Linked DNA regions of Caenorhabditis elegans. The protein of the gene in region 2 interacts with the protein of the main gene of each other region in a pairwise test. Each region holds a gene or a part of one and is shown on either strand. Other genes may lie near its edges.

Region 1 (3,760 bases), on a different chromosome or scaffold from region 2:
TATGATATTTCAAAAAATAGCTTTAAATTTTGATCATTTTTCTTCTTTTTTTGATAAAAAGTTGAATTTTTTTGTAATTGTTTCCTCGTTTTCGATTTTTTCTGGAGAAAAAACTAACGAGAACGTATGAAGAAGCCGTGGAAAACACTGGTTGCATGAGAGTAAGGTCAAGTTCTGGAGCTCTCTGAAATAATTTATAATTATTAGAAATAGTTGAATTCCAGGATACTTGAACACATGGAACTACAATTGGTTGATAAACGTTTTCCTCAATATCGATTGAATCATTTTGTGATTGATCCAATTGTTCCATTAATTGACTAGTATCCGATGAATTTCCAATTGTTGAATGTGTTGAAAATGTTGGACCCTGATCTTGATGAGGTATTGTAGATGAAGATGATGATGTAGCTGCTTCAAGAGATGATGTAAATGTTACAGCACTTCGTTTGTATTTCTGAAATAAAGTAATTGAAAACTTTAGTTTTGGATTTTTTTGTCTGTAATAAAACAGAAAATGGCTTAAGCTCTAGAATTGGCTGAAGAAACGATAATTTAACATCTCTGTTTATATTTTTTTTCAAAATTGAAACTTGTTTTAAAGCATAAAATTTTTAAATCTTTTATTTTAAACAGTTATATTCAGTATATTGAGACTGTTTTTTGTGATTTAGGGAAAATACAACCGACACTACTCAAACTTTAAGAAATTTCGAGAATCTCAATAAATGTTAAAATTAACTTCAGGTATTAGCATTAAAAATTATGAATGGACAAGTTAATTCGCATATTTTTCGAAAGAAACACTCACCTTTGGGCGATTTCTAACTCGAAATTTGTTGTATCTCACTGTTTGTGCCGCTTCATCACGCTCCCGTTCTAATTCTTCTTCCAAAATCTGAAAATTTAATTTTTCATACCGAACTCAGATTAAAATCTATACCTTTTCATCAGCTTTCTGTACTGTCATTGTGTTTTTTAGAAAATCTCTGACAGACATTCCTGCTCCTGAATTTCCAGTTGTATCCATCTTTTCCGGAGATATTGATCGATTTCGAATCGGTGAATGAAGATTTGCAGGTTCATGTGAAATGGGAACTGGATAAACTGGCATTGGATTATTTATTGGCTGCTGAAACGGTTTTGATTGGAAAAAATATTCGAAATAACGCTTACCTGATTCACAGTAACTTCGTTTTGACCGAAAGTATCATTTTCAATTTTTTCTTCGATTTCTTCTTGAACAGGAGGATCCATGTCATCTATTGAATTATCTTCAGGTTGATGTGGACTTGTCATTCGAGGAGACGGAATACGACCCTGTAGAAAAGAAGCAAAAGTCTAATGGATATTAATAATATCTAATTTGAAACAAATGAAATATTTAAAAGAAATTATGTTCCAATGTAGATTAAGGAAAATATTGGAAAAAGTAATAACTTACCAGACATTTCTCAAGGATTAGTTTGTTCAAACTTTGCTGTGACTGAATAAACTGATGAACAACTTCCGATAAATCATCAATTTTCTTTTCAATTTCAGCTTGTTTTTCATAATGTGGAGTCATCAAATCTGCGAAAAACTGTCTTTTCTTATCGTCGCTGCCACTGGAAGTTTGGGGATTCAAAAGGTCCAATATTTGCAGATGATTCTAAAAAAAATATCGATTTTTTCGACTTTCGGAACTTTTAAAGTTTACTGTTAATGAATTCGACTCTGTAACATAGTTCGCAGCAGATGGTTGAGCAGCACTTGAGTTGAATCCCATTTGATACTGGAAAATTATCGATTTTCAATAAATACGAAAAAGGAAACTCTTGAAAATGAACAATCGAAGAACTTACAATAGTTTTATCAGAAATAGGAAAGTTCAGCTGAGGATTCATTTCAAAAACTTGTAAATCCGTCATTGATAGTTATCCTGCAAGGAATATTAGTTTAAACAAATACCAGATGAAATGTAAATTTACGATAAATAAGGCGCGTATGCGGAAATTCGGAGCTTCGTTGTAAACAAGGAAATCATTCCCGTAAATCCATCAAACTAGTTTTGAAAAACTGCTTCTACAGAATGATAATCGAACTTTTTCAATCTAAACTTGATATACAAATATAGGAAAATGTTCAATTAATTTGAAAAAAAACACTCAATTTTGGTAATTTGGCTAATTGAAGAGTATTCTACATTCTAAAAAGACCAGAAAAGAGCAGTGCAAGGTTAGGGCATCATTTACTAGCGTGCTCATTTACTTGAACGCTCAATCCCTAACGATGGCTCAATTCCTTTGACGCTCAATTACTAATGTTTTCACTTTCGTTCGTTTACTAATGAATGGCTCATATACCAGGGCTGTGCGGCAACCGGCAACCGAGTTGCCGGTTTCCGAAAAGTTGCCGAAGTTTCGGTAACCAAAAGTTGCCGGTTGCCGAAATTTTTTTTAAAAGTAATTTTGTAGTTTAAGTTAGTAAATGAAATATCAAAGTAGATGAGCCATTCATTAGTAAACGAACGAAAGTGAAAACATTAGTAATTGAGCGTCAAAGGAATTGAGCCATCGTTAGGGATTGAGCGTTCAAGTAAATGAGCACGCTAGTAAATGAGGGTTTGCCTTGACGTTGAGGGTTTGCCTTGAAGTGAGTATACTGATTTTAGTTTGAAATTTGGTATATCAGCCGTACCTGCAAAAACAAAGCACCTAAAGCACACATCACAACAACGTAATCCCTACACTAAGCCCAGCTCATCCAAAAAACTGCACCCCTACCGTACCACTCCACTACAGTCCCCCGATAATAAAGCGTTTTTCTCCATTTATTCATTAGAGTTTAGAGTTTACTCAACATACTCGGCATTTGGAGGCAACTTCCTGCCAAATTATGGCAACTTCCTGCCAAATTTTGCTTGTTTCCAACTTCCTGCCAAATTTTGGCAACTTATTTTAGTGGCACTAAATAAGTTGCCAGGTTGTTGGCAGGAAGTTGCCAAAGTGTGGCAGGAAGTTGCCTCTGAATGCCGAGTAGGCTTTCAATTGAATCAATTTTTTTAATCTAAGTTCCTATAGCACCTTCAGAATATTCCCTAGTGAAATTCAGTTTTGCGGCTGCAGCAAAAAAGGAAGTCAGATGTTAAAACAAAAAGGAAAAAATAATACATTGGAGAAAAAGCTTGCTGAAAAACTAAAATGGACGTTGAAACTTCGAATCTTGTTGAGAAAATCGCCGGCCAATCAGCGACGTTGGCCAGTTCAATTACTCATCGCTGATTGACCAAAAACAGAAAATATTAAATGAAAACTTCAGATACTCATTTATTGTCCACATAAACAAATAGACATTCTTACAACAAGTTCATTATTCTTCTTCTTTCTTTTCAGCCACCTTGTTCTCGTCCGTAATCTTGGGAGTATTCGTCATATTTGATGTGGAAATAACCTTCTGAGCAGCCGATTTCTTTTCTTTATCCAACTTTGTCTTATCCTTATTGATCTTGCGACGCTTCTTGGTACGCAAAGATCTCTTAAACAATACAATTGCTTAGGAAAAATATCCATTTCAAAATTTTATCAATAATTGATTTTAAAATTGAACTCACATCCTTTTCCAATGCATCCACCCGCCCATTCATTAGCTTATATTGCTCTCTATCTTCATTTCTCATTTGCACAATTTCTTTGTAAAGATCCTAAAACTTCCGTGTTACTCAACAAAAATAAAAATTGAAAACCTACCCGAATCTGTCCAATCAAAAGTCGAATAGACT
Region 2 (3,760 bases):
TAGTTTTTTTTCTATTTCACGACATTCAATTTATAATTGAAGTTCAAATGTAGAGTTATTTTTTTGTAAATTAATCATGTTAGTGAAACATATTTTTTTCCAACTTACAATAAACCATGGCTCACTGTTCTTGTTGATCGAAATTTTTTTTTTCATTTTTAAAATTACGTCGATATGAAAATGTAGTGCTGAAAACATCAAGACTTATTTTGAAAATATATTTGGATTTCTAAAAATATTGTTTATTTAAAATACTTCAAGTGGGGCATCCAGAGGTGGAACTTTATTCCCTTAACATTTTATTGTCGAAACTGAAATTTTCCTGATTTATTTTTTCTAAATAATCCTTTTTCATCTTCATCCTTAAAAATATTTCTAATCTAATCGGTTCTTCTCATCGTTTTCTTCCACACAATTCAATGTGTCCCAACTCTTTACCCATCTCTTCACAAAAATGTCAATTTCTGTTCAATTTCCCATGGGAGTTCGATTTTCCGTTTCCCATCCTTTTCCAAACTCGGAGAGCTTGGGGCAACTCAAGAAAAAAAACATTTGGAATACGGATTCCTTAAGATGTGCATCAAAGTACTAGACCTCCTCTTCTTCTAGATCTACTTTCTTTTTCCCCGTATTCACTTCTTTTGTCCCAAATTTCTTTTCATTCCAAATTGGATTCAGTTCCCCTGAGAAGCTCGCCTGAGCCGGCGGGTCACATTAGAGAGTACTACTCTTCTTTTTTCCCGAAAATTTCAATTTGACAGAGTGATTTCAAATAGGGACTAGTACCGAAAAAACATTTTGGGCGGAGTTGTAAACGGTGAAAAAAGTTTAAAAGTTTGAATTTATCTTGAGTTCGGACTTCCTTTCGTTCTAAAAGTATATTGCACAAACACAGGTTTTTTTCGAACTCCAAAACTTGACTTCTAGTTGAAGTATATGTTTAGTTAGTTTTCTAATAAATATAGTTCATTCTAGGACTATTCCCATATTTCCTACCTGCCATTTTTCTTGCCTACAGCAATTTTTCAGTGTCGCTGGGAACTCTTGTATATGATATACATTTCTCCCATTTTAACTTTTTGTTGAAAGTTTCTTCTATGTCATGCCAGTAAACATGCGTGTAGGCAGATAGTTTATTTTGTGCAGTTTGCACTTTTGCGCTTGCTCTGATGTTTTTCTCTCAAATTGATTTTTATTCTATCCAATTGGCATTTTCATTTCTTATCTGTTTCCCATTATCTTCCACAAATTTCCCTCTCTTTTTTCGCCTCATTTTCCGTTTCCAATCCCATCATTTTTCGTTCATTTGCTCCCCACCAATTTTTCCTCAATCGTCTCATGACCTCAAATTGATGGATCACTTTCTCACCTATATCTCTAAATCTCCATGTCTATTCATACTATCTCATCTTCATCTCGAATATCAATCAAAAGTCATCCAAGAATTCTCGTCTCATGAAAATGTCAACACAAACAAAATGTGCTTGAGCTAATTGTTTTTTGTGGGGTGGAACTTTTTGTGCAAGAGCCTGAAATAGCTAAAGCATATAAAATCTACAGTAATCCCTTCATAATTGATCCTCTGGTACTCCATCATTATTGCATGCAGACTCAGAAATGGATTCTAAAACAATTATTCATCAATTGTCCTCTTCTTTTCTTTCTTTTATTTTTCACCATGCACATTTTTCTCTTTCTGCATCGAAAGATTTATAAAATAAAAACTTCAATAAAAATTTTCCTAATTTTCAGATGAGATAGGATTGATAATTTTTATTCGTATTTCACACACACGTAGAAAAAAGAAGAGCCATCACTAAAAACTACATGATTACTTGCCGCCGGTCTGTAGGTAAGATATATTGAGCATGAAGTTTGAATTATTGAATATTATTCAGGTCAATGGGTGTTTTTGTGTGTCGCGACAACATCAATCTCATCACGAATCATCGACGATCAATGGGACAGCGGCAAGCAAAGCAACACATGCAGGTTGGTAATAGTTTTGATATGGGGAATTTTTTTTTCGGAAACTAAAATTTATGCGAACTTCTGTGATGTTTTTTAAAATGTTTTATCATTCCTGTTTGGCATTCCCCAATTTTAAACATTTATTTCTGCAGGCTGGCGTCAAACTTTATCATCAACGACATTACGCACAGGCTATCAATAAATGGAGACAGTCTCTGAACAGGTTAAAGTAAGTCTTTCAGACGACTCCTCTTCTTTTCTATAACGTCCATTTTCAGCAATGCAGAAGACCGGTTTATCACTCTCGGATACCTTGCTCAAGCTCTTTGCGACCAGGGAGAATACGAAGGAATGCTTTCATATGCTCTATCACAAATGCAGTTGGCAACCGATCAAAACGATTCAGCAATGAAATGCGAGGCATTTTTGAATCTAGCAAAAGCCTATGAACGATTAGCAGATTTCACGAAAGCCCTCCAGTATGGCAAAGCATCGTTAGAACATCCTTCGATGGATCCCAGGACGCCTGGTTATGCACATTTAAGTAAGAATTTTCAATAGGTTCTAGACAAAACTGTGGCTATTTCAGCAATAGCACTTGCACACTTAGGAATGTCCCAGTTCCAACAGTGTCTGGAAAGTTTCGAGTCAGCAATGAATGTTGCCAATGAGACATCGGATAGGTTACTCGAATTGCAAATTTGTGTTGGTCTAGGATCTCTTTTTACTCTTTTGAGGTAACCGTACAGAAATGAAAAATAACACATTTTTATTTTCAGAGATATCACTAAAGCTCTGATATTTCTTCGAAATGCTCTCGCAATTGTTCAATCTGTTACTGTTGATGATGTTCATGCAAAGTATCGTTGTTTGATACTTTATCATTTATCAGTTGCTCTAAGGATGAAAGGAAGTCTGGTTGATGCCAAGGAAGCATGCGATGTAAGTTTTTATTTAAAGTTTAAGAACTTCAAAAAGTATTGAATGATTCCAGGAAGCTTCCCAGCTAGCTGTTGAGATGGGTAATCGAGCGATCCATGCAAGATGTATGTGCAGTTTAGCAGATATTTATAGAGAATTGGGAGAGAGTGAAGCCAAAGAGACTATCACTGTGAGTAATTTTAAATTCTCAGTTATTTCAGTAAAAAAACGTTATGCTTGAAAAGTTAATAATAACAACTAACTTTCATTAAAACTTGTATTAGAAATCAATGAGTTTTTTTTTTCTATTGTTAGATAATAAACTCTTTCTTACAGAAATCCTGGGCAAGATACGAAGATGCTTATCGTGTAATGCGCGGAGCAAATGATAAAATGGGCGAAGTAAGTGGCCAAAAAACCTTCAATTATTTATTGGTACAACCAAATACCTCATAAAACCAAAAGCTCACATCCAGGTCTCAATTTCTTTTCCCATTAAATAACTTTTACGACTTTCCCATAAATCTTGAAGCTTTGTGGTTGACACAATCTCACATAGAGATCAGACAACATGAGTATATTTCTGGGGAATTGTGAGAAAATAATTTTAATAAGTTCTGAGTGTTTTTCAGGTATTAGTGCTCTCGTCAATGGCAAAAAGTGCATCTGAAAGTCGATCTCATTACACTGGACAATGTGAATGTCAAGCTATTCAATTGAATAAAAAGTGTATTGAAATTGCAAATCAGATAGGGTGCAAGGTACAAAATCGATAGGATGATTCCACAAAACTTCAAAATTTTGTTTCAGCACGTTGTCTTAAAGTGCCATCTCCGACTAGCCGAACTATATTCTCAACTGAATGATG

What was found. The genes of interacting proteins can lie anywhere in the genome.
Region 1: the proteins of rpy-1 (region 2) and F10D11.2 interact in a two-hybrid assay, tested with the Caenorhabditis elegans proteins (one large-scale study listed by BioGRID).

What each region holds. Positions count from the first base shown.
Region 1 is NC_003279.8:8,436,677-8,440,436, forward strand, and holds the start of F10D11.2 (uncharacterized protein), read right to left. Parts: upstream 1,933-3,760; 5' UTR 1,911-1,932; coding exon 1,845-1,910; intron 1,775-1,844; coding exon 1,700-1,774; intron 1,652-1,699; coding exon 1,445-1,651; intron 1,321-1,444; coding exon 1,177-1,320; intron 1,133-1,176; coding exon 944-1,132; intron 899-943; coding exon 812-898; intron 458-811; coding exon 230-457; intron 185-229; coding exon 119-184; intron 1-118. Other genes in the region: F10D11.3 (BAG domain-containing protein), read right to left, coding at 3,352-3,516, 3,593-3,682, 3,729-3,760.
Region 2 is NC_003280.10:6,703,636-6,707,395, reverse strand, and holds the start of rpy-1 (43 kDa receptor-associated protein of the synapse homolog), read left to right. Parts: upstream 1-1,752; 5' UTR 1,753-1,852; intron 1,853-1,898; 5' UTR 1,899-1,902; coding exon 1,903-1,992; intron 1,993-2,123; coding exon 2,124-2,200; intron 2,201-2,249; coding exon 2,250-2,515; intron 2,516-2,560; coding exon 2,561-2,708; intron 2,709-2,750; coding exon 2,751-2,913; intron 2,914-2,965; coding exon 2,966-3,082; intron 3,083-3,228; coding exon 3,229-3,294; intron 3,295-3,524; coding exon 3,525-3,653; intron 3,654-3,702; coding exon 3,703-3,760.